Linked DNA regions of Macaca mulatta. The main gene of each other region encodes a partner of the protein of the gene in region 3 in a complex. Links are inferred from orthologs where the notes say so. Each region holds a gene or a part of one and is shown on either strand. Other genes may lie near its edges.

Evidence for each region.
Region 1: MEAF6 (region 3) and BRD8 share a complex: the UniProt entries of both Homo sapiens proteins name them as parts of the nuA4 histone acetyltransferase complex. The link is inferred for Macaca mulatta from reciprocal best matches to the Homo sapiens genes MEAF6 and BRD8.
Region 2: MEAF6 (region 3) and MORF4L1 share a complex: the UniProt entries of both Homo sapiens proteins name them as parts of the nuA4 histone acetyltransferase complex. The link is inferred for Macaca mulatta from reciprocal best matches to the Homo sapiens genes MEAF6 and MORF4L1.
Region 4: MEAF6 (region 3) and RUVBL2 share a complex: the UniProt entries of both Homo sapiens proteins name them as parts of the nuA4 histone acetyltransferase complex. The link is inferred for Macaca mulatta from reciprocal best matches to the Homo sapiens genes MEAF6 and RUVBL2.
Region 5: MEAF6 (region 3) and MBTD1 share a complex: the UniProt entries of both Homo sapiens proteins name them as parts of the nuA4 histone acetyltransferase complex. The link is inferred for Macaca mulatta from reciprocal best matches to the Homo sapiens genes MEAF6 and MBTD1.
Region 6: MEAF6 (region 3) and KAT7 share a complex: the UniProt entries of both Homo sapiens proteins name them as parts of the HBO1 complex. The link is inferred for Macaca mulatta from reciprocal best matches to the Homo sapiens genes MEAF6 and KAT7.
Region 7: MEAF6 (region 3) and BRD1 share a complex: the UniProt entries of both Homo sapiens proteins name them as parts of the MOZ/MORF complex. The link is inferred for Macaca mulatta from reciprocal best matches to the Homo sapiens genes MEAF6 and BRD1.

Annotation. Positions count from the first base shown.
Region 1 is NC_133411.1:147,032,808-147,037,218, reverse strand, and holds the start of BRD8 (bromodomain-containing protein 8), read left to right. Parts: upstream 1-1,417; 5' UTR 1,418-1,459; coding exon 1,460-1,478; intron 1,479-2,402; coding exon 2,403-2,499; intron 2,500-4,411. Other genes in the region: kinesin-like protein KIF20A, read right to left, coding at 233-397. UniProt on the Homo sapiens protein: May act as a coactivator during transcriptional activation by hormone-activated nuclear receptors (NR). Isoform 2 stimulates transcriptional activation by AR/DHTR, ESR1/NR3A1, RXRA/NR2B1 and THRB/ERBA2.
Region 2 is NC_133412.1:57,080,720-57,085,185, reverse strand, and holds the start of MORF4L1 (mortality factor 4-like protein 1), read right to left. Parts: upstream 3,089-4,466; 5' UTR 3,009-3,088; coding exon 2,969-3,008; exon of another isoform or gene 2,899-2,968; intron 2,817-2,898; exon of another isoform or gene 2,624-2,816; coding exon of another isoform or gene 2,332-2,623; intron 1-2,331. UniProt on the Homo sapiens protein: Component of the NuA4 histone acetyltransferase (HAT) complex which is involved in transcriptional activation of select genes principally by acetylation of nucleosomal histones H4 and H2A.
Region 3 is NC_133406.1:203,283,898-203,288,528, reverse strand, and holds the start of MEAF6 (chromatin modification-related protein MEAF6), read right to left. Parts: upstream 2,996-4,631; 5' UTR 2,975-2,995; coding exon 2,885-2,974; intron 1,788-2,884; coding exon 1,672-1,787; intron 1-1,671.
Region 4 is NC_133424.1:61,470,315-61,473,520, reverse strand, and holds the end of RUVBL2 (ruvB-like 2), read right to left. Parts: intron 2,081-3,206; coding exon 1,961-2,080; coding exon of another isoform or gene 1,942-1,960; intron 1,570-1,941; coding exon of another isoform or gene 1,544-1,569; coding exon 1,414-1,543; intron 992-1,413; coding exon 877-991; intron 749-876; coding exon 723-748; 3' UTR 641-722; downstream 1-640. Other genes in the region: LHB (lutropin subunit beta), read left to right, coding at 1-23, 258-500. UniProt on the Homo sapiens protein: Possesses single-stranded DNA-stimulated ATPase and ATP-dependent DNA helicase (5' to 3') activity; hexamerization is thought to be critical for ATP hydrolysis and adjacent subunits in the ring-like structure contribute to the ATPase activity.
Region 5 is NC_133421.1:58,802,434-58,806,336, reverse strand, and holds part of MBTD1 (MBT domain-containing protein 1), read right to left. Parts: intron 3,734-3,903; coding exon 3,499-3,733; intron 2,866-3,498; coding exon 2,810-2,865; intron 2,485-2,809; coding exon 2,380-2,484; intron 1,383-2,379; exon of another isoform or gene 1,140-1,382; intron 730-1,139; exon of another isoform or gene 417-729; intron 1-416. UniProt on the Homo sapiens protein: Chromatin reader component of the NuA4 histone acetyltransferase complex, a multiprotein complex involved in transcriptional activation of select genes principally by acetylation of nucleosomal histones H4 and H2A.
Region 6 is NC_133421.1:60,212,654-60,216,556, forward strand, and holds part of KAT7 (histone acetyltransferase KAT7), read right to left. Parts: intron 3,010-3,903; coding exon 2,862-3,009; intron 1-2,861. UniProt on the Homo sapiens protein: Catalytic subunit of histone acetyltransferase HBO1 complexes, which specifically mediate acetylation of histone H3 at 'Lys-14' (H3K14ac), thereby regulating various processes, such as gene transcription, protein ubiquitination, immune regulation, stem cell pluripotent and self-renewal maintenance and embryonic development.
Region 7 is NC_133415.1:1,665,307-1,669,209, reverse strand, and holds part of BRD1 (bromodomain-containing protein 1), read right to left. Parts: intron 522-3,903; coding exon 386-521; intron 1-385. UniProt on the Homo sapiens protein: Scaffold subunit of various histone acetyltransferase (HAT) complexes, such as the MOZ/MORF and HBO1 complexes, that acts as a regulator of hematopoiesis.

The DNA.
Region 1 (4,411 bases), on a different chromosome or scaffold from region 3:
ATGCAATGCAAATAATAGTTCTTCTGGACACACAACTCTTAATTTTTTTTTTACTTGTCATGCCCTTAATTTTTTTTTCTTTTCGTAGCCATTTTGTCCTACATGCCCCTAATTTTGAATTGATCTCTCAAACCTTCAGGATTGCTAGTCTTTGACCTCATACTACCGTGTATGGACAACTATTGACCTGAGGATGTCACTTTCTGCCCCAGCCACTCCCCAGTTCCTTTACCTGCTGCTTGTCCTCTAGGGAGGTAGAGATGACAGAGCAGTCTGACAGCAGGTTCTTGCGTACCACAGACCCCAAATCTGCAGCTGTGGACTCAAACATGGGAGAGACTACGACATCGTCATCGGACAGCAAGCCCGCTGGCGGAGAAAGGATCCCTTGCGACATGACGGCAGGGGCAGCCTAGGTCTAAAAAGAGACCAAAAAGTGGGCAGGGAGAAGAACCTTTAGGGACAGAAGGGGCCGCGAATTTTAGGTAATAAGTCCCTTGCCCCAGGACACCGGGTCCCGCTCCCTACTTCCTTTCCCCTCTAATTATCGGCAAAGGGGAAGGGAATGAGAGAAGTTCACTTAATGAACAATCGAGAGAAGTTTGAGGTTGCATTTCTGAAAGCGAACAGAAGTCCACAGAAATCTGGCTCCAAAAGCAAAAGGCCAGGCCTAAAGTAGGGCACCTCGCCCGCCGGTGCTGTGGAGGTGGTGTCAGGATCCCTCGGCTCCTTTTCTAACCTCAAGGACCACCGTGAGAACAGAGATGCAGCATTAAGAGAAAAACAGATGGCTGCAGTTCCGATTTCTTAAAGCCTATTCCGCGTGGGCAAGAGCTGGTAACCCGGGCTCCAGCACAGCCGCACACTCACCCGAAGACGTGCCACTTGCTCCTCCTCGGGTACCGGCTCACTCACACCTAGTCGCCGAACCTGGACTTTCGCAGCCGGAGAGCACAACTCCGCCCACGAGGTGCAGCTTTGTTACCGATACAATATTTTAAATTACGCGCTGCGTTCGTTCGGCCAATGAGATAGGGAAGTCTGCAGCTACCAATCCGCGTAAGGAAAAGGGGCGGGTCCGACTGGAATTCCAGTAGTTTGCATCCGCTTGACCTCTCAGATCTAATGTGGGTCCGGGTTACCAACTGTCGCGGGTTAGGAGTTATTTCGCTTGGGATTCTTCCAGCTTAACCCTTTTTCTTGAACCTTAGACATTTCTTACCTAAGAACCCTAAAGGAAATCTTGAGGCTTCAGCCGCCAACCCCTGTCCTTCCTTAGCAAAAATCTTAAAAGGATTGCACAAGATAACTGGTTTAGGGTGCTTGCTTTGTCTTAGGGGAAAAAACGACATTTCCCAGGAGGCACCGCGAACCAACGCCGGTACTCTACTTCCCAGAATTCCAGGGTTTCGGCCCTACCAGACCGTCTCTCCTCAGGGTTGGAGACTTCGGGGCCAAGATGGCGACGGGAACGGGCAGTGAGTATCTGAGCAGGTTTTGCGTGAAAGGCGTTTGTAGATCCGAGGCTAGGCACCATATTTTTGTTACACGCTTAGGGAGTGGGAGAAGTGGTTTGCTTGAGAGCTCAGGGTTTTCAGAGACCTGCGCTCCACAGCATCGTGAAGACCAACGTTTGGGGGCCCAGAAATCTGGGGTCTTGTTTCTCAGGGAGGGAGCGGAGGTGTGAGAGAAGGAGCTTAGTGAATCCTAGTGTGTTAGGAGCCCTTCGGGGTAACCGTAAAAGCACTCTAGAAACTTGGGCGTGCAGACGAAAAGATGTTATGAGCCAGACGGAGTAACCGGCACCTCAAAGAGCCATTCATTTTTTGTTCGACGTTTGTGAGGCAGTGGAAGTGGGGCCTTTTAACCATGAGCTTTTCTTGCCACTCAGGAAATTGCATCTCGGGGATTTCAGCCATTTTTCTTTTAGTGGACTGAAAAGGTCTTTTAGGCCCGACATTTGGAGTAGAGGATCTGAGAGAAGTAAACAAGTTTATGCTAAGAGGGAGGCGGGGTTGTAGGAGGGGCTGGCCGCTCGGGTTCCTGGGAAATAAGCCCTGAATGAGTTCAAACTGGAATAAAGTCCAGTGTTCTTAAAACTGGGCTTTTAGGGAGAACTGCCTAATCTGACATTCCCAATTTTTTAATAAAGCGGAGCTTCAAGCCGTGGCGTTTTAAGAAATAAAATGTTAATAATTCACATGCAACAAATTGGTACCACGGTCACTGGTGATACTTCACTTGGAGAGGTGAAAATCAAGATTTGGTGATAGTAGCTCACTTTGTCCTAACAAGTTGGAATATTTTGTATTAGGCTTTTAGTCCCCTTTTTGGGGATTTTGGAGCTTAGCACTACAGTCTCAGTGGTTGCTTCCAAGGCTTTTTTTTTTTTCGTTTCCCAGAACACAAGCTGCTGAGTACTGGCCCCACAGAGCCATGGTCCATCCGAGAGAAGCTGTGTTTAGCATCTTCTGTCATGAGAAGTGGAGATCAAAATTGGTAAGCTATCTAGGATGTCAGCTTTTCTGGGTCTTAGAAATTGTTAGATACTCTTTCACATTGATAGATTTCTGTAGTTAATCATATTAAGCTGTAAGTAGACTTTTTCTTCTTCCCTTTTTTTTTTTTTTTTTTTTTTGAGACAGTCTCCTTCTCTCGCCCAGGCTGGAATGCAGTGGTGCAGCCACGCCCAGCTAATTTTTTTAGTTTTTAGTAGAGACAGAGTTTCGCCATGTTGGCCAGGCTGGTCTCGAACTCCTGACCTCAGGTGATCCACTGGCCTCAGCCTCCCAAAGTGCTAGGATTACAGGCGTAAGCCACTGCGCCTGGCCATGCCTGGCTAATTTTGTATTTTTAGTAGAGACAAGGTTTCACCATGTTGGCCACGCTGGTCTCAATCACCTGACCTCATGATCTGCCCGCCTCGGCCTCCGAAAGTGCTGGGATTACAGGCGTGAGCCACTGCTGCCGGCCTTTTTTTTTTTTTTTGAGACAGGGTTGCACTTTGTGGCCCAGGCTGGAGTGCAGTGGTGTGATCTTGGCTCACTGCAACCTCCATGTCTGAGGCTCAAGTGATCCTCCCACCTCAGCCTCTTTAGTAGCTGGGACTACAGGTGCACACCACCATGCCCAGATAATTTTTTGTATTTTTTTGTAGAGATAGGGGTTTCATCATGTTTCCTAGGCTGGTCTTGAACTCCTGGGTTCAAGCGATCTGCCCACCTCAACCTCCCAACCTACTGGGATTACGGGTGTGAGCCACCAGGCCAGCTGTATTTTTTTTTTTAAACAGCTTTATTGAGATATAATTCACATACTATAAAATTAACTTACTTAAGATGTACAATATAATGGTTTTTAGTATATTCACAGTTGTGCAGCCATTACCACAATCTAATTTTAGAACATTTTCTTTATTTTTATTTTTTTTATTTTTTATTTTTTGAGGCTCTTGCTTTGTTGCCCAGGCTGGAGTGCAGTGGCGCAATCTTGGCTCACTGCAAGTTCCGCCTCCTGGGTTCATGCCATTCTCCTGCCTTAGCCTCTCGAATATCTGGGACTACAGGCGCCCGCCACCACGCTCAGCCTATTTTTTTTTATTTTTAGTAGAGACGGGCTTTCACCATGTCAGCCAGGGTGGTCTTGATCTCCTGACCTCGTGATCAGCCCACCTCGGCCTCCCAAAGTGCTGGGATTACAGGAGTGAGCCACCGCATCTGGCTGACATAACGCTTTTAAGGTTCATTCTTATATAGCAGGTATCAATACTTAATTCCTTTTTTAGCTGAATAATAATCTGTTATATGAATATACCAAATTTTGTTTATCCATCGCTTGATAGACAATTGGGTTGTTTCCACTTTTTGACCATTATGAATAATGCTGATGATACGCACATTTGTGTACAAGGTTGTGGACAATGTTTTTAATTCTCTTGAGTTTTTTATTCAAGGAGTGAAATTGCTGGGTTATGTAGTAACTCTATTATGTTCGCTTTTTTTTTTTTGCAGACAGGGTCTCACTGTCACCCAGGCTGGAGTGCAGTGGTGCAATCTTGGTTCACTGCAACCTCTGCCTCCTGGGCTCAAGTGATTCTCCGGCCTCAGCCTCCTGAGTAGCTGGGACTACAGGCACATGCCATCATCCCCGGCTCATTTTTGTATTTTTTGGTAGGGATGGGGTTTTGCCATGTTGCCCAGGCTGGACTTTTTTTTTTTTTTATTTAAATATTTATGTTTTTGTAGAGACGAGGTCCCACTATGTTCCCCAGGCTGGTCTCCAACTCCTGGCCTCAAGTGATCCTCCCAGTTTAGCCTCCTGAGTAGCTGGGACTACAGACCCTTGCCGTCATGCTTGGCTGAATTTTTGGGTTTTTTTGTCACTTGTTGCCCAGGCTGGTCTCGAACTCCTG
Region 2 (4,466 bases), on a different chromosome or scaffold from region 3:
AATAATGTTAAGTACAGAATCTCTCACATAGCTTTCAAAACCTTACTTGGGGATACCTTGGTTCCTACCTTTCTCCAATTACACCACTTAAAACAGCACAAGGGGGCCGGGCGCGGTGGCTCAAGCCTGTAATCCCAGCACTTTGGGAGGCCGAGACGGGCAGATCACGAGGTCAGGAGATCGACACCATCCTGGCTAACACGGTGAAACCCCGTCTCTACTAAAAAATACAAAAAGACTAGCCGGGCGAGGTGGCGGGCTCCTGTAGTCCCAGCTACTCGGGAGGCTGAGGCAGGAGAATGGCATAAACCCGGGAGGCGGAGCTTGCAGTGAGCTGAGATCCGGCCACTGCACTCCAGCCTGGGCGACAGAGCGAGACTCCGTCTCAAAAAAAAAAAAAAAAAGGCACAAGGAATTCTCTGCTGCTATTCCCCTCTTAACTAGCAACCCTCTAGAACTAAAGCGCTTCCTTAAACAGCCAACCTTAGGCTGTTCCTACAGAAGCGATTAACTTTTTGTGCCTTGACAGTCTGATACAGCCTACGAGCCGAATGATTTCATAAATACATAAAACACACAGTAGTACAAAGGCAACCGACTGTATCGAAACACCAAAACATTTTAAATGTCACGTTCTATGACATTACAGGACAAAGACTTGGCTAGTCATCCAGCAACTACCCTAATTTTGAAGAAACGAGAATGATTGATAACTGAAAACATCTTCCACAACTGTAATGCTGAGATCTGAAAATACTAATGCGGCGTTTTTTTTCGGGGTTTGGGGGGAGGAATTACACTGTTAACTGAAAACTAAACTTGGGTACACAGAAAAAACACATCTTCCTCATTCAATTTCACGGACCCTCTGAATGCACTAAGAATATCTGCTCTAAAACGTCTAGTAAAATAATGAATCCATAGGAGGTAGAGTCACAGATTCTCAAGGTGGGAGAAGGGTATTAAAAGTCACACGGCTGAGCGCGATAGCTCACGCCCGTAATCCTCCCACTTTGGGAGGCCAAGGCGGGTGGATCGCTTGAGCCCAAGACTTCAAGACCAGCCTGGGCATCATGAAACTCCGTCCCTACCAAAAATACAAAAAAAAAAAAAAAAAAAAAAAAAAACCCACAAAGAAAGAAAAAACCCCTAAAAACAAAACAGAACAAAACTCAGCCGGGCATGACGGCGCGCGTCAGTGATCCGAGCTACTTGGGAGGCTCGCTTTAGCCCGGGGGGCAGAGGTGAGCCGAGTACCATAACTGCCCTCCAGCCTAGGTGACAGAGTGAGACATTGTCTCAAAAATATAAACAGGCCGGGCGCGGTGGCTCAAGCCTGTAATCCCAGCACTTTGGGAGGCCGAGACGGGTGGATCACGAGGTCAGGAGATCGAGACCATCCTGGCTAACATGGTGAAACCCCGTCTCTACTAAAAATACAAAAAACTAGCCGGGCGAGGTGGCGGGCGCCTGTAGTCCCAGCTACTTGGGAGGCTGAGGCAGGAGAATGGCGTAAACCCGGGAGGCGGAGCTTGCAGTGAGCTGAGATCTGGCCACTGCACTCCAGCCAGGGCGACAGAGCGAGACTCCGTCTCAAAAAAAAAAAAAAAAAAAAAAAAAAAAATATATATATATATATATATATAAAAAAACAAAAAAGTCACTCGTTAACAAAATACCCCTAAAACTCCCTTAAATATCCCATAAGATACGCAGTACTACGGTTTAAGATTTATGTCTCTAAAAGGAATTTTAATGCAAGTCTAAAAATCCCTAGAACAAAAATAGTACGCATGGAAACACCGTATTTACGGTAACTAGCATAAATTTCCATAGCAATGAAAACGAATATTAGAGTGTTCCTCCTTTTACAGGATTTTACTTCCTTTTTAGCTATTAGACCTCCACCTTATTATACATAAATTGAAGCGTTGTGAAAATTTAAAGAGCTGCCTTCCACTGGCAGTCTAACCCTAGCCAAACCTCATGCCAATCGAAAACCAATTAATAAAAATAAACTCAACTTTCAAGTCACTGTTAAACACTGCAACTAATCAAACAATTACTGCATTTAAAAAATGACGTCGAGACAATGGGACTTACAAAGGCAAACGGCGTTAACACTGCATTCAGATCATTTTTATTTACTTTTTACGAGCAACTGCAAAGCGAGAGCGCACTAACGTTACCATAGGATCTTGGCACTGCGCCTAAGAGCAGAATGAGGCCTCCAGGCAACACAAAGCGGAGGAAAACGCTCATCCCACTGATCCTTTTTTTTTTTTTCTGTCCCCACCCACCACTCTGAGGTAAGCGAAGGGTCCCGGCAACCTTGCGGTCTTCGTGGAAGGGGGCGCTGCATCTGCCCTGAAGCTGCGCCTGCATACGGGGCAGAGACGCCAGCGGCCATGATGAAGCCGCCATGTTGCAACGGCCATTTTACAACGCAGTTCTCCCGCCCCGTGGCGCCAAACCCACCCCCATCTGCAGCTCCGAGTCTCCACCGAACGCGACCACCCCGGGGCTCCAGGGAGCACCTAACCGCCGGTCGTGGCTGCCCAAGCGGCCGGGCGCGCTGCAGGACAGCCAGAAACCACCGCCGCCCCTCCCCCCGCCGCCACATCACTTCCCCTAACCGCCGCCATGGCGCCTTGGTCGCCTCCCTACAATAGGCTGCTCTCTCCGCGCCCTCTTCCTCAGAACAATAACAAACACTTGACGAGGGTGTGCCACGCGCCAAACGCTCCCTCTCCCACTCTAACGCCTGCGTAGCACTCTCGCTTCACAAAGCGCTCACAATGACGCATCGGAATTGCCATCCGCAATGCGCTTTCCCCGCACAAAGCACTATCCGCCGCCTTCTCAGGGTGCACCCCGAGCCACCCCCGGCCCTCAAACCTCAACCACCTCGAGCCCGCCTCCATCTCCTGCGCCGTTAGGTGCCTTTTTCCCAAAGGCGCACACTCACCCTCCTGGAATTTAGGCTTCGGGTCCTGCTTCGGCGCCATTTATAAGTGATTCGCCGCCTCCTCCTTCTCCCACCACCCCCGACTACCGCCCCCTACTCTCTACCCCACCCAACTCCGCGTCAGACGCGCCGTCAGGCACTGCCAGCTCTACATCCTGGGCCGGATTTGCCAGCGCCCGCAGACCTCACAGCAGCGCGACCCGCGCAGCCGCTGCTCCAGCCAATGACAACCCGCCGCGCCCGCGCCCCTGCGCCCGCGCCGCCCCGGGGCACGCCGGGACTGGTAGTTTCTAGTTGGTGGAGGCGCAGCTGGGTGGGGGAGGGGCCGGCTACCCTACCCCACTCCTCCCCACCCCCCCGCCACTCCCCATCCCCCGGGCTGCTGCGGGTTGGTAAAGCGGGGAATTGATTACGTGGGAGGTTAAAGCAGAGCGGGCAATGGGGGAGAGTCGGGGCGGTGAACCACCAGCGATGAAAAAATGGGAAAAACCCAGTTGCGACGTCCTTTGGGCAAATAAGCCCCCATTGATGTTGAAGTAGCCGGAGAGAATAGGGCTGCCTCGAAAACCTATATTCAATAGCATTCCGCTAGTTTTTGCATAGAAAAGCTTTAGGATCAGCAATGTGGCCACAAGAGGATGGGAAGTGGGGTCCGCTTCTGGAAGCTTCGTTGTTTAGCAAGCCCACTGCCTAGTCTATTTGGTGGGATTGATAGCCATTTGTTGGCTCCCAGGTCTACCTCCTCTTCTCCAGTCCCGGCCTTGCGGAAATGAGGAAGATGACGTGGGAAACACTAGTCAGGCTTTGGCTTTTTGAGATAATGGAGCTCTGCTATCCGCAAAAGGCTAGTGTGAATATGCCAACCTCTGCATTCCGTACCTGCCCTGTTTGTACTTTTTTGTCATCTAATTTTTTGAGCCATGATTGAATGTACACACACTAAACAAACGGATTTCTTCAATATTATATATTTTTCTTTTCTTTTCTTTCTTTTTTTTTTTTTTTTTTTTTTGGAGATGGAGTCTCGCTCTGTCGCCCAGGCTGGAGTGCAGTGGCCTGATCTCGGCTCACTGCAGCCTTCACCTCCCAGGTTCAAGCGATTCTCCTGCCTCAGCCTCCGGAGTAGCTGGGATTACAGGCACGTGCCACCACGCCCAGCTAATTTTTGTATTTTTAGTAGATACCGGGTTTCACCATGTTGTCAGGCTGATCTGGAACTCCTGACGTCGTGATCCGCCCGGCTTGGCCTCGGAAAGTGCTGGGATTACAGGAGCAAGCCACCGTGCCCAGCCTGCCTCCATGGCTTTTCTAAGCCCTCCCCTGCCCGGGTTCCACACCCTACCATTTCCGGGCCCCTCTCCATTTTTCTGACTTCCATTTCTCCTTCAGTCTTTTTAACACAACCCCTTCTTCGACAACAGAAACCCACAAAAATCTTCGTTATTCCAGTTGAATATACACCATCTTGTCACGGCTGCTACTTGCAAGCTTGTCCAAC
Region 3 (4,631 bases):
TTAAGTAGGAAAAAAAGGTAGGGGGACAGGGAGATATAACTACAAAGGAGTGGCATGAGGAAGATCTTTGTGGTAATGGAATAGTTCCTGAAGTAACTTGATTGTGGTCACATGAATCTACACACAAGATAAAGTGACATAGAACTATATATATACATTGTACCAACGTCAATTTCCTGGCTTTGATACTGTATTAGAGTTATATAAAACACACCTATTGGCCGGGCGCGGTGGCTCAAGCCTGTAATCCCAGCACTTTGGGAGGCCGAGGCGGGCGGATCACAAGGTCAGGAGATCGAGACCACAGTGAAACCCCGTCTCTACTAAAAATACAAAAAATTAGCCAGGCGCGGTGGCGGGTGCCTGTAGTCCCAGCTACTCAGGAGGCTGAGGCAGGAGAATGGCGGGAACCCGGGAGGCGGAGCTTGCAGTGAGCCGAGATCGCGCCACTGCACTCCAGCCTGGGAAACAGCGTGAGACTCCGTCTCAAAAAAAAAAAAAAAAAAAAAAAAAAAAAACACCTATTGGGGAAAACTAGATGAAGACTACAAAAGACCATTCTGCCAACTCCCTATGAATCTATAATTATTTCACAATTTAAAAACGTGAAATGTAAATATAGGTGTGTGCTTATATTAATATTATAGAGAGTAAGAGAAAGCAAATGTCACAACACATTAACAATCTGAATACAGGTAGGACAGTATCAAGTGTTCATATACTATTCTTCCCATTTTTCTATAACTTGAAGATAATCCAAAAGTTTAGAAATTTTTTAAAAATATTACTAAGCAAGCAGTGGTACAGCTGGCACACAGGTATGGCAAAAATTGTGAGGGTCAGTTGGGCGTGGTGGCTCACCCCTTTAATTCCAACACTTTGAGAACCTGAGGCAGGAGGACTGCTTGAAACCAGGAGTTCCAGGCCTGCCTGGGCAACAAAGTGAGACCCCACTTCTACAAAAAAAAAAAATGTTTTTAATTAGTCAGGTGCAGTATTGTGTGCCTGTAGTCCCAGCTAATTGAGAGGCTGAGGTGGGAGGATCATTTCAGCCCGGGAGTTTGAGGCTGCAGTGAGCTAAGATTGTGCTACTGCACTCCAGCCTGGACAACAGCATGAGACCCTGTCTCTTAGAAAAAAGAAAAGTGGCCAGGCATGGTGGCTCACACCTATAATCCCAGCACTTTGGGAGGCCAAGGCAGCAGATCACCTGAGGTCAGGAGTTCAAGACCAGCTGGGCCAACATGGAGAAACCTCGTCTCTACTAAAAATAAAAAAATTAGCCAGCCATGGTGGCATGCGCCTGTAATCCCAGCTACTCAGGAGGAAAAAGAAAAAAAGAAAAGAAAAATACTGTGAGGGTAGAACTCACGACTGATTAAAATGTGTAAAAAATTTAATAGAGTGATGTTGTATAAAGATATTGTTATATGCTGTATTTAAGCCTCACACAACCCTGTGCCAAAGGCCCAACTTTTGCTATTTTACAGATGTGAGCTTTGTCTAAGATTATTCAGTGAGGCAGTGCCTGAGCCAGAGTCCAAGAGTTCAAGTCCAGACCACACCACCACTTTACTACTGCCTCTAGCAAACTTGCTACTAAGAGCCTACAGTCCTACAAACACACACAATAGGAACACAATAGGAACACTACAGGCTTTCGACACTCACTTTTGGTTGGTCAGATACCGATCCCAGCCACGAATAATATTGCCATACATCTGAGTGTCTTCCAGGTAGCTTCCCTCAAAAGCATAGATCTGTCGCTCCAAGTTTGCCAGTGTTTCCTGAGAGATGAAAAACAAGGACATGAATAATGCCTTTTAAATGCAAACACTTAAGTCTGACCAAAATGAAATCCTGATATTAGATTTGTAAACGCAAGCTTGTCCACACTAAATCACCCTGTGGAGAGATGGATGATATGGGGAGGAGCAGCCGTTTAGGACTAAGACAGTCTAGACCTTTGGGTGTGATGGACCTCTGAATGTATAAAGCATGTCCCCAGAAAAATACACACACACGCGAAATTTTGCATATACTTTAGAGGATTCACGGAAACCAGGAGTCAAGAACCCAGGCTAACGCAGAACTTGTGCGATATCCACTCCCACGCACAAAAGGTATCGCTACCAGGAGAGGGAAGGGTGAGCAGCCTTTCAGCGTCAACTCGCTCCCCTCCCCGCAGGCTCAGAGAGGCCGCCGGCACCGGGCTGCCAGTTGCTATGGAAACCTGGAAGGGCAGCTTCAGGTGAGAGGGGCCTCCGGGGTGCCCAAGCCGAGACGTGAGGGCAGGAAGAGCTTAGCCACCAGGGTGCATTGGGCCTTGGGTGCCTGTCACAATTCCGAATTCTCCAGAATGTGTTCTTCTCCCTCGCCTGTCACCTTCTAGATATTCCCAAACACATCACAACCCTGTCTATCAAAAGCCTCCATTCAACGGATCTACTACTAGTACCAAAAAGAACACGCTCCCCACCATCCTCCAAAGTCCAGACAGGGTGACTCGGTCCCCCTCCCACACTAGCCTCCTACCCCACCCCCACCCCGCAAAGATCACGGACTCGCCCGCCTCGCCCTTCCTAGCGCCCTCTCCCCGAGTCCCGAGCCCCGGCACCGTCCTCCCTCCACGCCCCCTCCTGCGGCTGCCGCTGCCCCTCCCCCTCCCGCGCTCCCAGCTCCCTCCCGGCTCCGGATTCGCACAGCCGGGAAGCTGAACCGCCGGCGGGCCGCAGAATGCGCACCCGGCCTCAGGCCGCCGAGCACACAGCCCGCCGCGCCGCGCCCCCGGAGTAACGAACGGCCTGGCGCAGCCGGGCTTGGGGCCTGGAGGCGGGGCGGGCGCGGAGCCCCATGCCGGGCAACCCCGGTCCTAGCCCCTCACCGCCAACTCCTGCTTCCGCTTCACGAGCTCCGCCAGCTCCCGCCGGGTGTCCGGGATCTGCGGCGGCGCCGCCTTGTTGTGCATCGCCATGTTGGGCTGAGGCGGGCGGCGGCGGCGCGAGGTTGGGGGCGGTCCCTGCGCCGCCAGGGGGCGCCCCCCGCACTGCGCCTGCGCGCGCGGCTTCCGGAGACGCGTGCAGCGCCGCGCAGAGGTGCTCTGCGGCCGGGACTCTGGACGATCCTTCTCGGAGAGGTCCAGAGAGTCGGCTTCTGCTCTGCCCTTTACGCCGTTTCCTGCCCCTCGGCTGGCCGCGGGCTTTACAGACGCCACAAATCTACCGTGTCCAAAGCCTAGCTCGTCCTCAGGCCTCCGAGTCTCCTGTGCGTCCCGCCTCAGTCCACTTCAGTGAATGACTTTCACTATCCACCGCAATTGCCTGCGTCAGAAACCCGGTTTTCCTCACTCTGCACCCGGAGTAAAACGCGATACCAGGTCAAGCCCTGTGGATTCGACTCCGGAAGAGCTCGCGAATCCATTTGCTTGTGCCTGCGCCTTTTGCCACCTTCTTAGTTCATTCAGGCCCTCCCTGTTTGGGGCTACGTTATTCCAACAGCTTCTTTATTTCCACCTTTAGCCCCATTTAATCCACTATCCACAGTGGTGCCGGAATCTTCCAGAAACAAATGTTATCACTCCCCTGTTTAAAGCCTTTCAGTGGCTTCCCATTTTCCCATTGCCCTTTGGAGAAACAAGTATGTGTAGTGGTTAAGGGCACAAAACTGGAGCGAGAACTACCTTGTTCAAAATCCTATCGCTACATCGATAAAGTGTGCCCCTTTGGGTAAATAACCAAATCTCAACTCCCTCATCTGTAAAATGAAAGCAGTGATAGAATCTACTTAATACAGTTGCTGTGAGGAGTAAATCAGCTAATGTGTGTAAGGGGTTTGGCAGGTGCCAATGACTCTGCAAGTACGAATTCGCTTTTATCGTTAAGTCCAAGGTGTAGACGTTGTTTTCACTTGGCCCCTGTTGATTTCTCCCTCCTCAGCTCTCCATCTTTCACTCTTCTGCAATTTCGCTATCATAAGTCTAAGTGGGATATTTTTTCTTTTTGTTTTGTTTCTTGCTTGGAAGTCTTTGGATTTCTATAATCTGTGGGTTGGTATCTTCCACCAGTTTTGGGAAATCGCAGTCATTTTTCTTCAGATGCCTGTCTCATATTCTCTCTCTTTCTGGAACTCGAACATAAGAAACCTTTATTTTTAACCTACCGTCTATATTTTCTATCTTTTTGTCCCTCTGTGCTGCATTCTGAATAACTGGTTTCGTGTGCGGATCTTGTAACCTGCCATCTTGCTGAACTTCCTTACTAATTTTAGGGGGGTTTTGTATAGATTCCTTGGAATTTTTTACATAGATAATTTCATCTGCAAATGGGGCGTTTTTTTTTTTCTTTCTAAGCTGGCTTCTTTTTCTTTTTCTTCCTTATTGTGCAGACTTCCAGTAGTCTGTTAAATAAAAATGATAACATTAAACATCCTTGACTTGTTCCCTGTTTTAAGAGGAATGCATGCCGGGCGTGGTGGCTCATACCTGCAATCCCAGTACTTTGGGAGGCCGAGATGGGCAGATCGCAAGATCAGGAGATCAAGACCATCCTGGCTAACACGGTGAAACCCTGTCTCTACTAAAAAAAATAAATAAATAAACAATTAGCCGGGCGTGGTGGCGGGCGCCTGTAGTC
Region 4 (3,206 bases), on a different chromosome or scaffold from region 3:
GTGCCGGCTACTGCCCCACCATGGTGAGCTGCCCCAGGCCAGAGACAGGTGCTGCCACCTCAGGGCCGGGTCACAGAGGCAGCGGGGGAGGAAGGGCGGTCTGCCTGTCTGGTCAGGGGCTGGGGAATGGGGTGTGGGAGGCGGGAACAGAGGGCTTCCTGGACTCCTGAGTCTGGGACCTTTGGAGGCAGCTTGGGAGGTCAGCGGAGGCGCTGGCCCCAGGCACATGCTCACTCCCCTATCCACACATCCTCCAGATGCGGGTGCTGCAGGCGGCCCTGCTGCCCCTGCCCCAGGTGGTGTGCACCTACCGCGAGGTGCGCTTCGACTCCATCCAGCTCCCTGGCTGCCTGCCTGGCGTGGACCCCGTGGTCTCCTTCCCTGTGGCTCTCAGCTGTCGTTGTGGACCCTGCCACCGCAGCACCTCTGACTGCGGGGGTCCCAAGGACCACCCTTTGACTTGTGACCACCCCCAACTCCCAGGCCTCCTCTTCCTCTAAAGACCCTCCCCCCAGCCCTCCAAGTCCATCCTGACTCCTGGAGCCAGCAGACACCCCGTTCCTCCCGCAATAAAGGCTTCTCAGTGCGCACTCTGGAGGTGTCTTTCTGTGGGCTCAGGGCAACCACACACAGAGTGGGTGCAGCTTCAAACCATTTTATACAAAGTCACAGTGTCAGAACTCTGGTAGAAAACAGGGTGGGGACAGGGGATGACATCCAGCTCAGGAGGTGTCCATGGTCTCACCTTCTGTGGGGAGAAGGAAGGCCACATGGTCAGTGTGGCCCAGGGGGCAGGGCCTGAGCCTTCTAGGCCGAGCTCCCTCTTCCTCCCCGAGGTTGGCTCTGGCAGTGCAGGTGCAGGGTAGGGATTCTTACTGAGTTCATTGAAGAGGAAGGCGTCCTGGTACTCCTTCATGTACTGCGTGGAGCGGGACTCGTCCAGGAAGAGTGAGTAGACCCGCTTGATGTCATCCACCTGCACTTCTGTACCCTGGAGGGGGAGGGCGGGTCCTGAGTTGGGCCCCTCTCCGTGAGGCTCACGGCACAGACCCCAGCATATGTCACCTCCATGCTCTAGGCAGCAGAGGGTGGCATGTGAGGGGAGGGCATTCTGGCCAGATCGCCTGGGTTCAAAACCTGCCTGGCCATCTCCTGGTTGTGGGCCCAGCCTCTTCATTCCTCAGTTTCTTTATCTGTAAGGTGGACCTAACAGCATCTACTTACAGTCAACAGAGATTTACTGAGCACCTACTGTAGGCCAGGCGGGGAGATACAGAAGACAACTTGAGGGATGAAAATTCCCTGCCTCTGAAAATGTACATCCTAGGTTGAAATTGGAACCCTGGCAGCCCCTGAAGTAGTGCGTCACTCACTGCCGCCATCTGGCCCTGCTGGCTAATTCGGCAGGCTGACCTTGCGTTTCCGGCACACCAGGCTTGCAGCCGTGATGAGCTGGATGGCGTAGCGCAGTGACGTCTCCAGCCCGATGCGGGTCAGCACCGTGTAGGCGTCCTCACTCATCTCCACATCTTCCTCCTCGCACCTGCAAGCAGTGGGGGACGGGGGTGGCTCAGCCAGGGCCCAGCCTCTGACTGCAGCAGAAGTGGCCACAGCAACCCTCTGGTCCTTCCCCACTGGGAATATGTGGCGCCTGCATCTTAGAACCATAGAATGCTGAGGCTAGAAGAGCCACGGAGACAGGGGCTGGGCTGGATCTAAAACCTAGGCCTCCTGACCACGCCCAGGGCGCTGGCCCCCACACCGGTCACGGGTACCTCGCCTCCCTTTCCCACCATGGCTCCTGCTCCCGGATCGGCGGCCACTGTCTGGGTGCCAGATCAGCCCTCTCTCTTGCAGGCCCAGCCACCATGCCAGTCCGCCAGACCTCAGTGTCGGCATTTGTCAAACAGGGTAGACCCCAGCCCCGCCTCCCAGGCGCACGGTCTGGTCCTGCCCGCACCGGATGCGGAGGATCTGCTTCGTGTCTTTCTCGCTGTAGGGGGTGGTGGAGACGATAAGCAGCCGGTCCAGCAGGTCTATGGGGATGCCGTGGGGGCTCTGGTAGCTGGTGCCCCGGATTCTGAGGAAGAGGCAGAAAGAGGGGGCTGTCAGGGGGATGTTCCCTTTTCATTCCCTTTGCTGGAAACACTCCCACCTCCCATCACCACCCACTCAGTGGGCCCAACACCACTTAACCTTTAGCTCGTGTCTCCTGTCACATGATGACATCACCCCCTGATGACGCAGCCTTCCACAACTGTCAGTCCCCCAAGGACACCTTTCCGCAGAGCTGGGCTGCTTTAAGCTAGCTCTCTGCCTCGAGGATTACTGGATCAAGGTCCCACTCCCGTGCTCGACATGAAGCTTCACAAAGGAGGGGACAGAACCTGTCTTGTTCCCTGTTGCAGCGGGGCCCGCCCAGGGCTGGTACCAGGGTATACAGTCAGTTCCCCTTATTCACCGCAGTGAGGTTCTAGAGAGTCACCGTGAACACTCCAATTAGCCGATCCTGAGCCACTGCTCCTAGTGGAATACAGGGTTAGGCTCTCTTGAGCCTTTACTCACAGTATTTTCGTCAATCAATATATATATAATCTGGGTCTATGTGTGTTTTCATTTGTGTGTTTCTGTTATTTTTTTTTTTTTTTTTTTTTTTTGAGACGGAGTCTCGCTCTGTCGCCCAGGCTGGAGTGCAGTGGCCGGATCTCAGCTCACTGCAAGCTCCGCCTCCCGGGTTCACGCCATTCTCCTGCCTCAGCCTCCCGAGTAGCTGGGACTACAGGCGCCCACCACCTCGCCCGGCTAGTTTTTGTATTTTTTTAGTAGAGACGGGGTTTCACCGTATTAGCCAGGATGGTCTCGATCTCCCGACCTCGTGATCCGCCCATCTCGGCCTCCCAAAGTGCTGGGATTACAGGCTTCAGCCACCGCGCCCGGCCTCTGTTATGTTTTTTAAGACGGAGTCTCGCTCTGTTGTGAGGCTGGAGTGCAGTGGCATGACCTCGGCTCACTGCAACCTCCGCCTCCCGAGTTCAACCGATCCTCCTGCCTCAGCCTCCCAAGTAGCTGGGTCTACAGGCGCACGTCACTATGCCCAGCTAATTTTTTCTATTTTTAATAGACACGGGGTTTCATCATGTTGGCTGGGATGGTCTCGTCGTTCTCTTGACCTCGTGATCTGCCCACCTCAGCCTCCCAAAGTGTTG
Region 5 (3,903 bases), on a different chromosome or scaffold from region 3:
TGTGTCCCAGGTTCAAGCAATTCTCCTGCCTCAGCCTCCCAAGTTACTGGGATTACAGGCGCCTGCCCCCAGGCCCGGCTAATTTTTTTGTATTTTTAGTTTCATCATGTTGGCCAGGCTGGTCTTGAACTCCTGACCTCGTGACCCACCCTTCTAAAGTGCTGGAATTACAGGTGTGAGCCACTTGGCCTGGCCTTTTTTTTTTTTCCTTTTTAACATGATAAAGGTGTTTCAGGAATCAGTGTTTTAAATTTTTTTTTTTTTTTTTTGAGACAGTCTTGCTCTGTTGCCTAGGATGGAATGCAGTGGTGCAATCTCAGCTCACTGCAACCTCCCCTTCCTGGGTTCAAGCAATTCTTCTGCCTCAGCCTCCCGAGCAGTTGGAACTACAGGCGCCTGCCACCATGCCCAGCTAATTTTTGTGTTTTTAGTAGAGATGGGGTCTCACCATATTGGCCAGGCTGGTCTCGAACTCCTGACCTTGTGATCTGCCTGCCTCGGCCTGTTTTAAATCTTACTGGGTCATTCTGATCACTAGTCAGGAAAAGAGGAGGAACAGGGTTTGGAGCCAGTCTTGTCCAGCTGTTTGACCATGTGACATGGCAGTCATCATAATTGTTTTTCTTTTTCCTTTTCTGAGATGGAGTCTCGCTCTGTCGCCCAGGCTGGAGTGCAGTGGCGCCATCTCGGCTCACTGCAACCCCCACCTCCTGGGTTCAAGTGATTCTCCTGCCTCAGCCTCCCAAGTAGCTGGGACTACAGGCGCACGCCACCACGCTTGGCTAATTTTTTGTATTTTTAGTAGAGATGGGGTTTCACCGTATTAGACAGGATGGTCTTGATATCCTGACCTTGTGATCTGCTCGCCTCAGCCTCCCAAAGTGCTGGGATTACAGGTGTGAGCTACCATGCCCAGGCCATCATAATTGTTTTTCTTTTAGCTCAAGGTTTTAAACCGTTGAAATGCAAATTATGACTTAAGTTACACCTTTATGTAAGCAGATTTTCCTTAGGTGGTTCTAGACCATGGCTGTACATGATATTCACCTGGGGCCTTAAAAAACCGCCAATGTTAGCCAGGCAGGTGGCCCCTGCCTGTAATTCCAGCTACTCAGCTGAGGCAGGAGAACTGCTTGAGCTCCGGAGTTTGAGACTATCCTGGGCAATACAGTGAGACCCTATTGCTAAAGAAAACAACAACAACAAAAAACTGGCTGGGTGTGGTGGCTTGTGCCTGTAGTGCCAGCTGCTCAGGAAGCTGAAGTGGGAGAACTGCTTGAGCTCAAGGCTGTGGTGAGCTATGATCACGCCACTGCACTACAGCCTGGGTGACAGGGCGAGACACCATCTCAGGGAAAAAAAAAAAAAAAGGAAAGGCCAGGCGTGGTGGCTCATGCCTGTAATCCCAGCACTGTGGGAGGCCGAGGCAGGTGGGTCACTTGAGTCCAGGAATTCGAGACCAGCCTGGGCAATATGGTGAAATCCCATCTCTACAAAATATATAAAAATTAGCCAGCACCTGTAGTCCCAGCTACTCAGGGGGCTGAGGCAGGAGGATCACTTGAGCCTGGGAGGCAGAGGTTGCAGTGTGCTGAGATCATGCCACTGCACTCCAGCCTGGGTGACAGAGTGAGACCATGTCTTAAAAAGAAAAAAAAAAAAAAGCTGGGCGCTGTGGCTCATGTCTATAATCCTAGAACTTTAGGAGGATTGCCTGAGCCCAGGAGTCTGAGACCAGCCTGGGCAACCTAGGGAGACCCTGTACCTACAAAAATAAAAATAAGAAAATTAGCCAGGCATGAAAGGACACACCAGTGATCCCAGCCACTCTGAAGGCTGAGGTGGGAAGGTCACTTGAGCCTGTGATCACACTACTGCACTCCCGCCTAGGTGACAGAGAGAGATTGTGTCTCAAAAAAATGAACAAACAAACAAAACCCAAGAATCTCTCTTCTAGGTCTTTTTGTACGAGCAGTTTCAGATGAGGGGGAAAAGAGAAAAGAAGCAAAAACTACCACCAAAAGGAAGAAAAGGGCCTAAAAAGGAAACACAGGAAACTGAAGATAAACTTGGCCTTGTTACAATTCTGAATTGGACTAGCCTTGACTAGAAGTAACTTAAATAAATATTTTCCCTCTAAATTAGGATATACTTCCACAAGTAAATGTAGCAGACTCAAAATGACAATCTTGACAATAAACTATATAAGAAAGATCAGGAATTCAAACTTATTTTGAAATTCCTAGCAACCTTCTCTCCAGTGAAGATACACACACATACACATTTTATGTCAAAATGAATATGCTTGGGGACTCCTTCTATTAGCTTACACCCAAATCCTATAATTGCATTTCTATATTTTAAAACCTATTATCTTACCTTTCTAATGGTTGCGACACATATTGTAGAAAGATTTAATGGGTCTATAGCTTCCAATTTCATTCCTTCCTTGAACCATTCCCCACTCTGGTCTACTTCTTTTACCTAAAGAATTATATGAAAGCACATCTACTGTTACAAATGTTGTTATTTTAATAATTAAAATATTACCAATGTGAAAAGATTTACCAGGTGCCTTCTCCTACCTACCTAGTATTATAACTCAAACTTCCATCAAAGTTTAGAGAGAATTCAGACAAATAGAATTTAAGAATAATTATAATAAAGAGTTGTGACACCTATGAATTTACAAGGTCTTAATTCTTTTAAGTGAACACATGTAACTGTGATTTCCGTAATTTTAGGAAAAAACCCACAACCCTCTTTCAAACCTAATTTACAAATGAGGGTTCTTATAAAAACTTCTTACCTTAGCAAATAAATGTGGTGGTGTATCAAAATGTCCATCCTGTTTCTTTGTAATATCTACAAGGAAAAGTTACACACTAATCTGTCAGCATTTGTGAGAAGACCAAAAACCACGTTCTTTGAAGGCTTCAAACTCACAAGGTATGTCATACTATAAAACATGGCAAAAAGACATGCCTTCTACATTTGGGGTGAATATTCTTTAATAGTCTTTTCTCTCTTCAGGGTACATGTGCATATATGCTTTTAAATATATTCAGCCAATTTTAATGCTCATAATTTTAATGTAATTCCCTAGTTAGAAAATTACAACTTTAGAAGCATGTTTTCATGTGCTTAGTATTAAGTCTAACCACATTTCATCTTGCTATTTTGATTAAAATTGAATGGAAAGGGAAAGGGATCTTTAGATCTTTCAAATGGGCTGAATAATAGGCTGAATAATAAAAGAAAGAAATAACTGTAGTTGTGACCAAAAGTTCATTCTTTTGGAGAACAAGTGGAAAGAATATAAAAAAATTTATTAGGACACTAACATGGTGTGAACCTTCACTAATTAAGGTAGAATAAGCAGCCCAAAAAACTAGAATGCTATTTTTGATCTGTGCAATTCTGCAGAGAAAAATAACCAACTAGTATAATTCAGCCTCAATGATGCTTTTGACAGGAGTTCTTGTGACAGGTGCTTACCAGATCTTTTGAATCGATGACCTATGCTTCGAGACCAACCGATATGATGTATTAATGGGCTGTGCATATGGCACCAGAAGTCATCTGTTCTATCTTCGCTTTCTTCATACACTAGTCTTAATCTTCCTCCAATTACACTTTCCACCACTGCTACTCGTGTTCGACACAAATGCCTCTTGTCAACCACTTCTACTCTCATGCAAGGTTTGAAAGGATACTGCATACTCTCTGAAACCTTAAAAGCATACAAAAAAAACTGCTCGAAATTCATGACAAGAATTTCTTGTCTACAAGAAATTTTCGTATTATACTGTAAAAAATACTGAATGCATTTGAAATGTAACACACATCATCTGGTTCACAAAATTAAAACAATTCCTTAAAAATGTTCTTTGTTACCCTTGT
Region 6 (3,903 bases), on a different chromosome or scaffold from region 3:
AACACCTTACATTGATGACATTGTAAATGGTACCCCAGAGTTGTGCAACTCTGTGGTCATGAGGTCAAGACCCAGGGCTTACGCATTTCCTAGCTGTTTTGAATATTTAGTTTTCAGGTGTCTAGGGCATGGTCAATTATACTTTCTACGAACATTATGTCTTTTCCTTAGCATATGCTGTTCCATCTGCCGAGAATAACATATTCCCATCTTTCAACTTGTAAATTCCTATCAGAGCCTTTAAGACGTCAGTGTGCAGCCAGGCACGGCAGCTCACGCCTGTAATCCCAGCACTCTGGGAGGCCGAGGTGGGCAGATCACTTGAGATCAGGAGTTCAAGACGAGCCTGGACAACATGGCGAACCCCGTCTCTACTAAAAATACAAAATATAGCCAGGTATGGTGACGCTCACCTGTAATCCCAGCTACATGGGAGGTTGGTGCAGGAGAATTACTTGAACCCAAGAGGCGGAAGCTGCAGTGAGCCAAGATCATGCCACTGCACTCCAGCCTGGGCAACACAGCGAGACTCTGTCTCGACAACAACAAAAAAGACTTCATCGTTGTGGGAGTGCTGCCCTAAGTTGGCTATCCCACCTCTGGGCTTCTGTAGTACTCTATGCAAACCCCTCTCACAGCCCTTGCCATAATATATTCCCATGACCAATTTTCATATCTATATCTTGCACTGAACTGTAAGATCCTTGAGGACAGGAACTATGATTTTTCTATCATGGTTCCTAGGACATAACATAGTGCTTGAGTTATAGTAGCTATTTATCCATAGTCTCATTGTGGTAAAAATTTAAAGCTTAAGAAATCAAGAGACAATAGCAATACTTTAGCTGAAATCCTAAATTCAAAAATAAAGTTAATGGCGTAAACCTGGGAGGCAGAGCTTGCAGTGAGCTGAGATCCGGCCACTGCACTCCAGCCCGGGCGACAGAGCAAGACTTCGTCTCAAAAAAAAAAAAAAAAAAAAAGTTAAGAACAGTTGTTAAAGAGGATATTCCCACTTTCTTGCTTGAAAAACTGATGGTTTTTCTCTCGTTGTGCAACATACTGATATAAAAGTGACCAAAGTGGCAGGGCACGGTGGCTCACGCCTATAATCCTAGCACTTTGGGAGGCCGAGGCAGGCAAACCACGAGGTCAAGAGATTGAGACTATCCTGGCCAACATGGTGAAACCCCACCTCTACTAAAAATACAAAAATTAGCTGGGCATGGTGGCACATGCCTATAGTCCCAGCTACTTGCAGGTTGAGGCAGGAGAATTGCTTGAACCCAGGAGGCAGAAGTTGCAGTGAGCCAAGATCACGTTACTGCACTCTGCCTGGCGACAGAGCGAGACTCCATCTCAGGGAAAAAAAAAGTAACCAAAGCAACACTGTTGAAGTGCTCAAAACATGTTAAAGCTTTTTTCCCCTAATCTATTACCACCTATTGATCATCAGCTCTCTATATTAGCTACAACCTTCTTTCCTCCTCAGGGAATACCAGAGAAGAGCCAGGAGGGGTCAAGGGTACCCTCCAAATTTAACCCCAGATGCCTAAATGCACTAGAGATACTTCAAACTACCTTCCAACCCCAAGATTCTCAATTCTTTATTACCAAAGCAAAATTCTATATTTCCACACTGATATTTTGGTACAATTATTAATATTTATCAAGTGTGTATTGGATTACATTCCAGAATTAAACATGGTTTTAGAAGTACTGGGCCTCTGCCAATAACAAGTCCAAGAGACTACAGATGCTCCTTGACTTATAATGGGGTTAAGTCCCAATAAAACCATCATAAGTTGAAAGTATTAACAGGCTGAACATGATGGCTCACATCTATAACCCCAGTACTTTGGGAGGCCAAGGTGGAAGGACTGCTTGAGTCCAGGAGTTTGAGACCAGCCTGGACAACATAATAAGATCTCCCAAGTAGTCCCAGCTACTCAGGAGGCTGAGGTGGGGGGATCACTTGGGCCAAGGAGGTCAAGGTTGCAGTGAGCCAAGATCACACCACTGCACTCCAACCTGTGCAACAGAGCACAAGACCCTGTCTCCAGAAAATAAAAGCACTATACACCTAACCTACCGAGCATCATAGCTTAGCCTAGCCTACTTTAAATAGGCTCAAATCACTTACATTAGCCTACAATTGTGCACAATCATCTAACACAAAGCCTATTTTTAATAAAGTGTTGAATATTGCATGTAATTTATTGAAGACAGTACACTGAAGAGTACTGGTTTACCCTCATGATCAAATGGCTAACTGGGAGTTACGGCTCGCTGACTGGGAGTTATAGCTCATTGCCACTATTCAGCATCACAAGAAAATATTTCAGCCACATATCACTAGCCCAAGAAAGGACTGAAATTCAAAATTCGAAAAGTTTCTACTGAATGCATATTGCTTTAGCACCACAGTAAAGTTAAAAAAATAATAATAATTAAATCAAACCACCATAAGTCAGATACCATCTGGACTTCAAGTCCCTAAGCCTAAACCATTCAAACAGAAAGTGAAGGGATAACATTTTCATTTTACTGATGGAGACACGGCGATGTAAAAAAACAAACAAACAAACAAACAAAAAAACACAAATGACTCAAGACATACATGTGTCTCTATCCATTATACCATCCACAGTTCCTTTGGGTCTACAAACTGGATAGCAGCCCCCAACAGAAGCATTGTTAAAGACCTGACAACTCTGCATTCACTCCACATTTTACCAATCATCTGGTGCACCGTCATCTACACCAAGCCAAGGGACCAGTTTCCACATTAACTAGGAAAATAATGTGATGGGCCAGTCAGCCAGATGTGAGGAGTGGTAAGGAAAAATGAAGATTTTTACCTTGAGAACTCTGGCTTAGCCTGGCTGAGGAGCGGGTGACTCGAGCAGATCGTCGGGATGTGCCATCACTTTCTGAACTATCTGTGTGCTCGAGATCTGTAGAAAAATCGGAATCTTCGGTTCCATCTGAACTACTGCCTGCATTCCTCTGTAATACCATAGATCCAGATATTAGCACAGAAGCATTTGGTCTGAGGGTTTGCATTAACATTGAAAATAAAACAAGCTGTGACACCGAAAACACCAAGTTCAAACCTAAGAAAGGATTCCACAAGCATTTCCCATCCTCCCACCCACCCAGGCAACTTCACTTTATTTAGAACACTTAAATGGAACAATGTACAAATAAGGGACTTTTGTTAAATAAATGAAGAGCTTCCATTTCATTGGCTCCCGTTGCCCAGGCTGGAGGGCAAGGGCACAATCTCAGCTCACAGTAACTTCCACCTCCTGGGTTCAAGCGATTCTCCTGCCTTGGCCTCCCAAGTAGCAGGGACTACAGGCACCCACCACCACGCCCAGCTAACTTCTATATTTTTAGTAGAGATGGGGTTTCACTATGTTGGCCAGGCTGGTCTTGAACATCTGACCTCAGGTGATCCACCCGCCTTGGCCTCCCAAAGTGCTGGGATTACAGACGTGAGACACATGAAGATAATTAATTCTTACTGTATTAGCACTAAGTATGAACCAAGATCATTCGGAGATCAGTATCACAAAAAAAGGTCCACTGTAGTGAAAAAATCGTTGGTGCTAGACCTCATTTAACTTTAGAGTAGCTTTTGTTAAATGTCTCCATGAAAAGCTATCATATTTTTTTAAAACCATATACCATCTCAAAATATCATGGACCACAACTCTGATCCCAAAAGAATTTAAGCAGAAAAAGACGAAAATTGTTACTGCGTATGCCATCTATCCTTGAAGTTTCTCCACATGAAAGCCATCTATCTTTCAAAAAGGCAGCTTGCACATGAAGACTCATGGGTATTCAAAAACAGTTGTTTTCAAAACCATCTTTTCAATGAACAATTATTTGTCA
Region 7 (3,903 bases), on a different chromosome or scaffold from region 3:
CCTGCAGCCAGGCAGGCCTGTGGGTGCACAGGTCTGGAGGGAGTGAGCCTGTGGCAGGGGGTACTCAGGAGGCCAATGAGACAGGCAGGGCTGTGCTCACTGCCAGATTCTGGGAGGAAAAGATCAAGTATAAACTTAATTGCAGTTTCTAAAATTGCGTTCCTATTTCACGTAGTGTTTTTCCTACTTCTGCTTGAATTCTACAAAGCAGATTAATATGCAGCACGGGAAACCACCCACAAGAGCAGAGCACACATGAATCCCAGGCCAGAATTTTTCAGAGGGCACTAAGATGGGAGCTGGAACGTCCTGGTCTCCAGGACAGCCAGGCAGGGCGGGTGGCTCGGGAGCTGCGTGGCAGGAAGTGCGGGGCCGCGGTGCCCACCTCGAGTCGCAGAGCGGGCTGTTGCTGGAGGAGATGCTGGACTCGGAGGCGCAGCGTCGTCGGGGTGTGGCTTTCCTCCCCAGGCCGCCGCCTGGCTCCTGCTCGCTCCTCGTACCCCCAAAGCCGTTGGTGAGACCTGGAACACAGGCAGGCCAGCCCTGAGCTCAGCGCAACCAGGGCGTGCCCAAGCAAGACTCAACTAGGTTTCACTTGGAACACATCTTACAAGGAACGTTTCACAGACAGGTAAGACAGCATCTTCCTTTTCACTCCCAGAGTACAGTCCTTACAGTAAGCAAACACCAAAGTTACTCGTTAAATGAAATCAATGTAACAAATTGCAGTCAGCTCTGACCACAGTAGTTTGCTGAGCACCGTGAAGATGCTCCTCTTGACAAGCCCAGGTCTTTAAACAGGCTCTGTGAAGGCAAAGAAAGGATGCCGTGAGCCTGCCACAGGAGCAGATGTGCAACCTGTGAGTGCAAACACGGGGGTGGCCTGTCCACGTGGGCACACGCCGCATCGGGACGGACCCTTCACCAGGCTGAAAGGGTCACCAAAGACACAAAATCGTGTTCACAGGAGCAGAGTTCCAGGGAACAGGAAATCAGGTTTTAAAAAGAAAAAACCTTGGTTCAAAAGACAAGTGTTAACATGAAGTCAAAAATGCTGACGAAACACTTTAAAACAGAGAATCCGGGGCCATGGCCGTGTCTGAGTGTCTCCGGCCTCACTCACTATGAAGCTGCGATCACTGGCATTCAAGTATTATACACAGCTACACAAAACACAGTCTACAATTCCATCATCTCAACATTTGAAAAATAAGGCATATCTCAGTCTTTTCCCCCTAAAAAGGCCTGACTTTATGTCAGTCAACAGGAAACAATACATGTGCCCAAGGTCCCCCCCATGAGGTCCCCCACGGGAGTCACAACGGGGGACGATGTTCCCGCCAGGGCAGCCTCTGGGTGTGAGAGCTGAAGCGGTGTGTAAATTTTTTTTTTTTTTGAGACGGAGTCTCGCTATGTCACCCAGGCTGGAGTGTAGTGCCGCGATCTCAGCTCACTGCAAGCTCCGCCTCCCGGGTTCACGCCACTCTCCTGCCTCAGCCTCCCGAGAAGCTGGGACTACAGACGCCTGACACCACGCCCGGCTAGTTTTTTGTATTTTTAGTAGAGACGGGGTTTCACCGTGTTAGCCAGGATGGCCTCCATCTCCTGACCTCGTGATCCGCCCGTCTCAGCCTCCCAAAGTGCTGGGATTACAGGCGTAAACCACCGCACCCAGCTGTGTGAATTTTTTTTATCCAAAAAGAACCCCATTTTCTTGCCTACCTCATCCTTAAAAATTTTTAAATCTATTTCCAAAGGAAACTGTGTAAATTTGTAAATAAAGCATTAATGTAGAATTTTTTTTTGGAAACGATGTCTTGCTCTGTCACCCAGGATGGAGTGCAATGGACTCCACAGCTCACTGCAACCTCGACCTCCTGGGCTCAAGTGATCCTCCTGCCTCAGCCTCCTGAGTGGCTGGGAGACATGTTTCAAAGGGAATGGCTGGACTGTGGGGTTTTCCACCTGATTCGAACGCTTCCCGTCTGTTCTCAATGAGCACGACTGACTGAAACAGAGGGGCTAAATCAACCTCGGTGAACAGCTCAGAAGGAAATGCGCAGACTAGGAGGGCACCGTGCTGCCCTCCACAGACTCAAGTCAGACACTCGCTCTGTGTCTGCTGGACTGGAATGTACCGTGAGCTCCAAACGAAGCTCTGTGTTTCTCATTTTAACCTCGGTCATTTTAAGGCAGGAAATACGGCCAGGTGGGGGTGTCATACTCATTTTTGGCAAGGGAACAAATAAACGCAAGAATCTACAGTAGAAGGCCTTGAGCCACATGCTGAGCTGCCCCAGGGCTCCACATCCTCCCCACACTTATCACAGAGCGGCTCAGACCCTGCACACTCAGGCCCTGAAGGTGTCTCAAGAAGGAGTTTAAAGTCCTGTCCTGGCCCCTGAGGACCCCTCAGGAGCAAGGACTCCATCCCTACTCCCACCTGAGTGGGTGAAGGCAGGGGAAGCCCACCCGGCTTGCATCAGCAGTGGACGGATGGAGCCCAGCACCCCTGCCAGCGTTCAGCCCACAGGCCCAGGGACGGGTCTGCCAACGCGTGTGAGCCGTCTCCAGACAGCAGCCACCAGCCTGGCGACCCACACCCCACAGCCAGGCCCCCAGCGCACTTCAGACCCCAGGTACAGGGTGAGCAGACGTGGCCCAGGGCCTGGGTAGGGAGGCTTTGAGTAGTTACTGCTCCGCCGAGCAATGGCCACCTGGGGGGAGACGAGGACCAGTGCAGCCTTCACAAGACTGCCCAGTGACGCCAGCCTGAGGGCCCCAGCACCAGAGCACCCGCAGCTGTGCCGGCACCTGCAGCCCCAACACAGCCAGGCCATGCACAGGCCACTCACTAGCCATGACAGCCCCAGCTCCATGAGCACCACTGCATGGAGTGGGGCCAGGCAGGGGATTAAAACACAAGGCAAGTCCTTAATTCTCAGGAAGAGAAGAATGATAAAATGCCCCTCTTAATTTTCCTAAGCATTCAGTGAGTGCACATATGACGCAAGTACACACAGAGGTTCCGCGTGTCACCCGTGAAAATGTGACAGCCCCCAGGAAGACGTGGGCAGCACGGACAAACCCAGACCAACCAAGACGCCACCCAGCGAGAGGCCTGGTGGGGGCGCGATGGCCGCAGGGCCTGAAAGGCAGTTCGGGAGCTACAGCAGTGCAGGGTCACCCCAGAGGCCAGACCAGGCCACAGACATGGCCCGGGAGGCTCTGCGGCCACTGCCTGGAGTCCCCAGAACCTCCGGGGAGCTTCGAGGTGGCCTGTGCTGCCCAGACCCTCCCAGCCTCCACCTGGGCCACCAGAAAATAATCTAAGACAGCTATGGTTCTGAGATCTCTCCATCTCAGCCCTGCCAACTCCCGCCCTGTGAGGCTCTTCCGGCCAGCTGGGAAATGTCCATCATGACGCGCACCCTCGGCACCCCTGCAAGGACCTCAGCCCAGAACATTCTGAAGCCCAGGCCAGCCTTGAGGTGGGAGCCAACGTGGGGAACCCAGGGCCTGAGGTCTGCAGAGAGGGGTGCCTGGTCCATGAGGCATTTGCAAACTGCAAGCACTGACATCGGGCCCAAGTCTCTAAATTGTGTATACGGCAGGGGGCAACTTTCAGCAACTTTTTCAGCACGAGGTGTTTTTTTAATGCTGAAAGTAAAGCTAGTGATCGTGCAAAATACATTAAAAGAGGCGGCGGCTGCCAGGGAAGGGCCACTGTCCCGTCAACACAGGAGCTGCACAAATTCCCACAGTGGCCAGGGTCTGCCCACCCTCAAGGGGCCTTCCCAGTGACTTCCTAGGAGGCCAAAGACTGAACACAGAAACGTCCCTCTCTGCTCCCAAAGGAGATGGCACAAAGGAGATGACGCAAAGGTGTCCCACAGCCCAGTC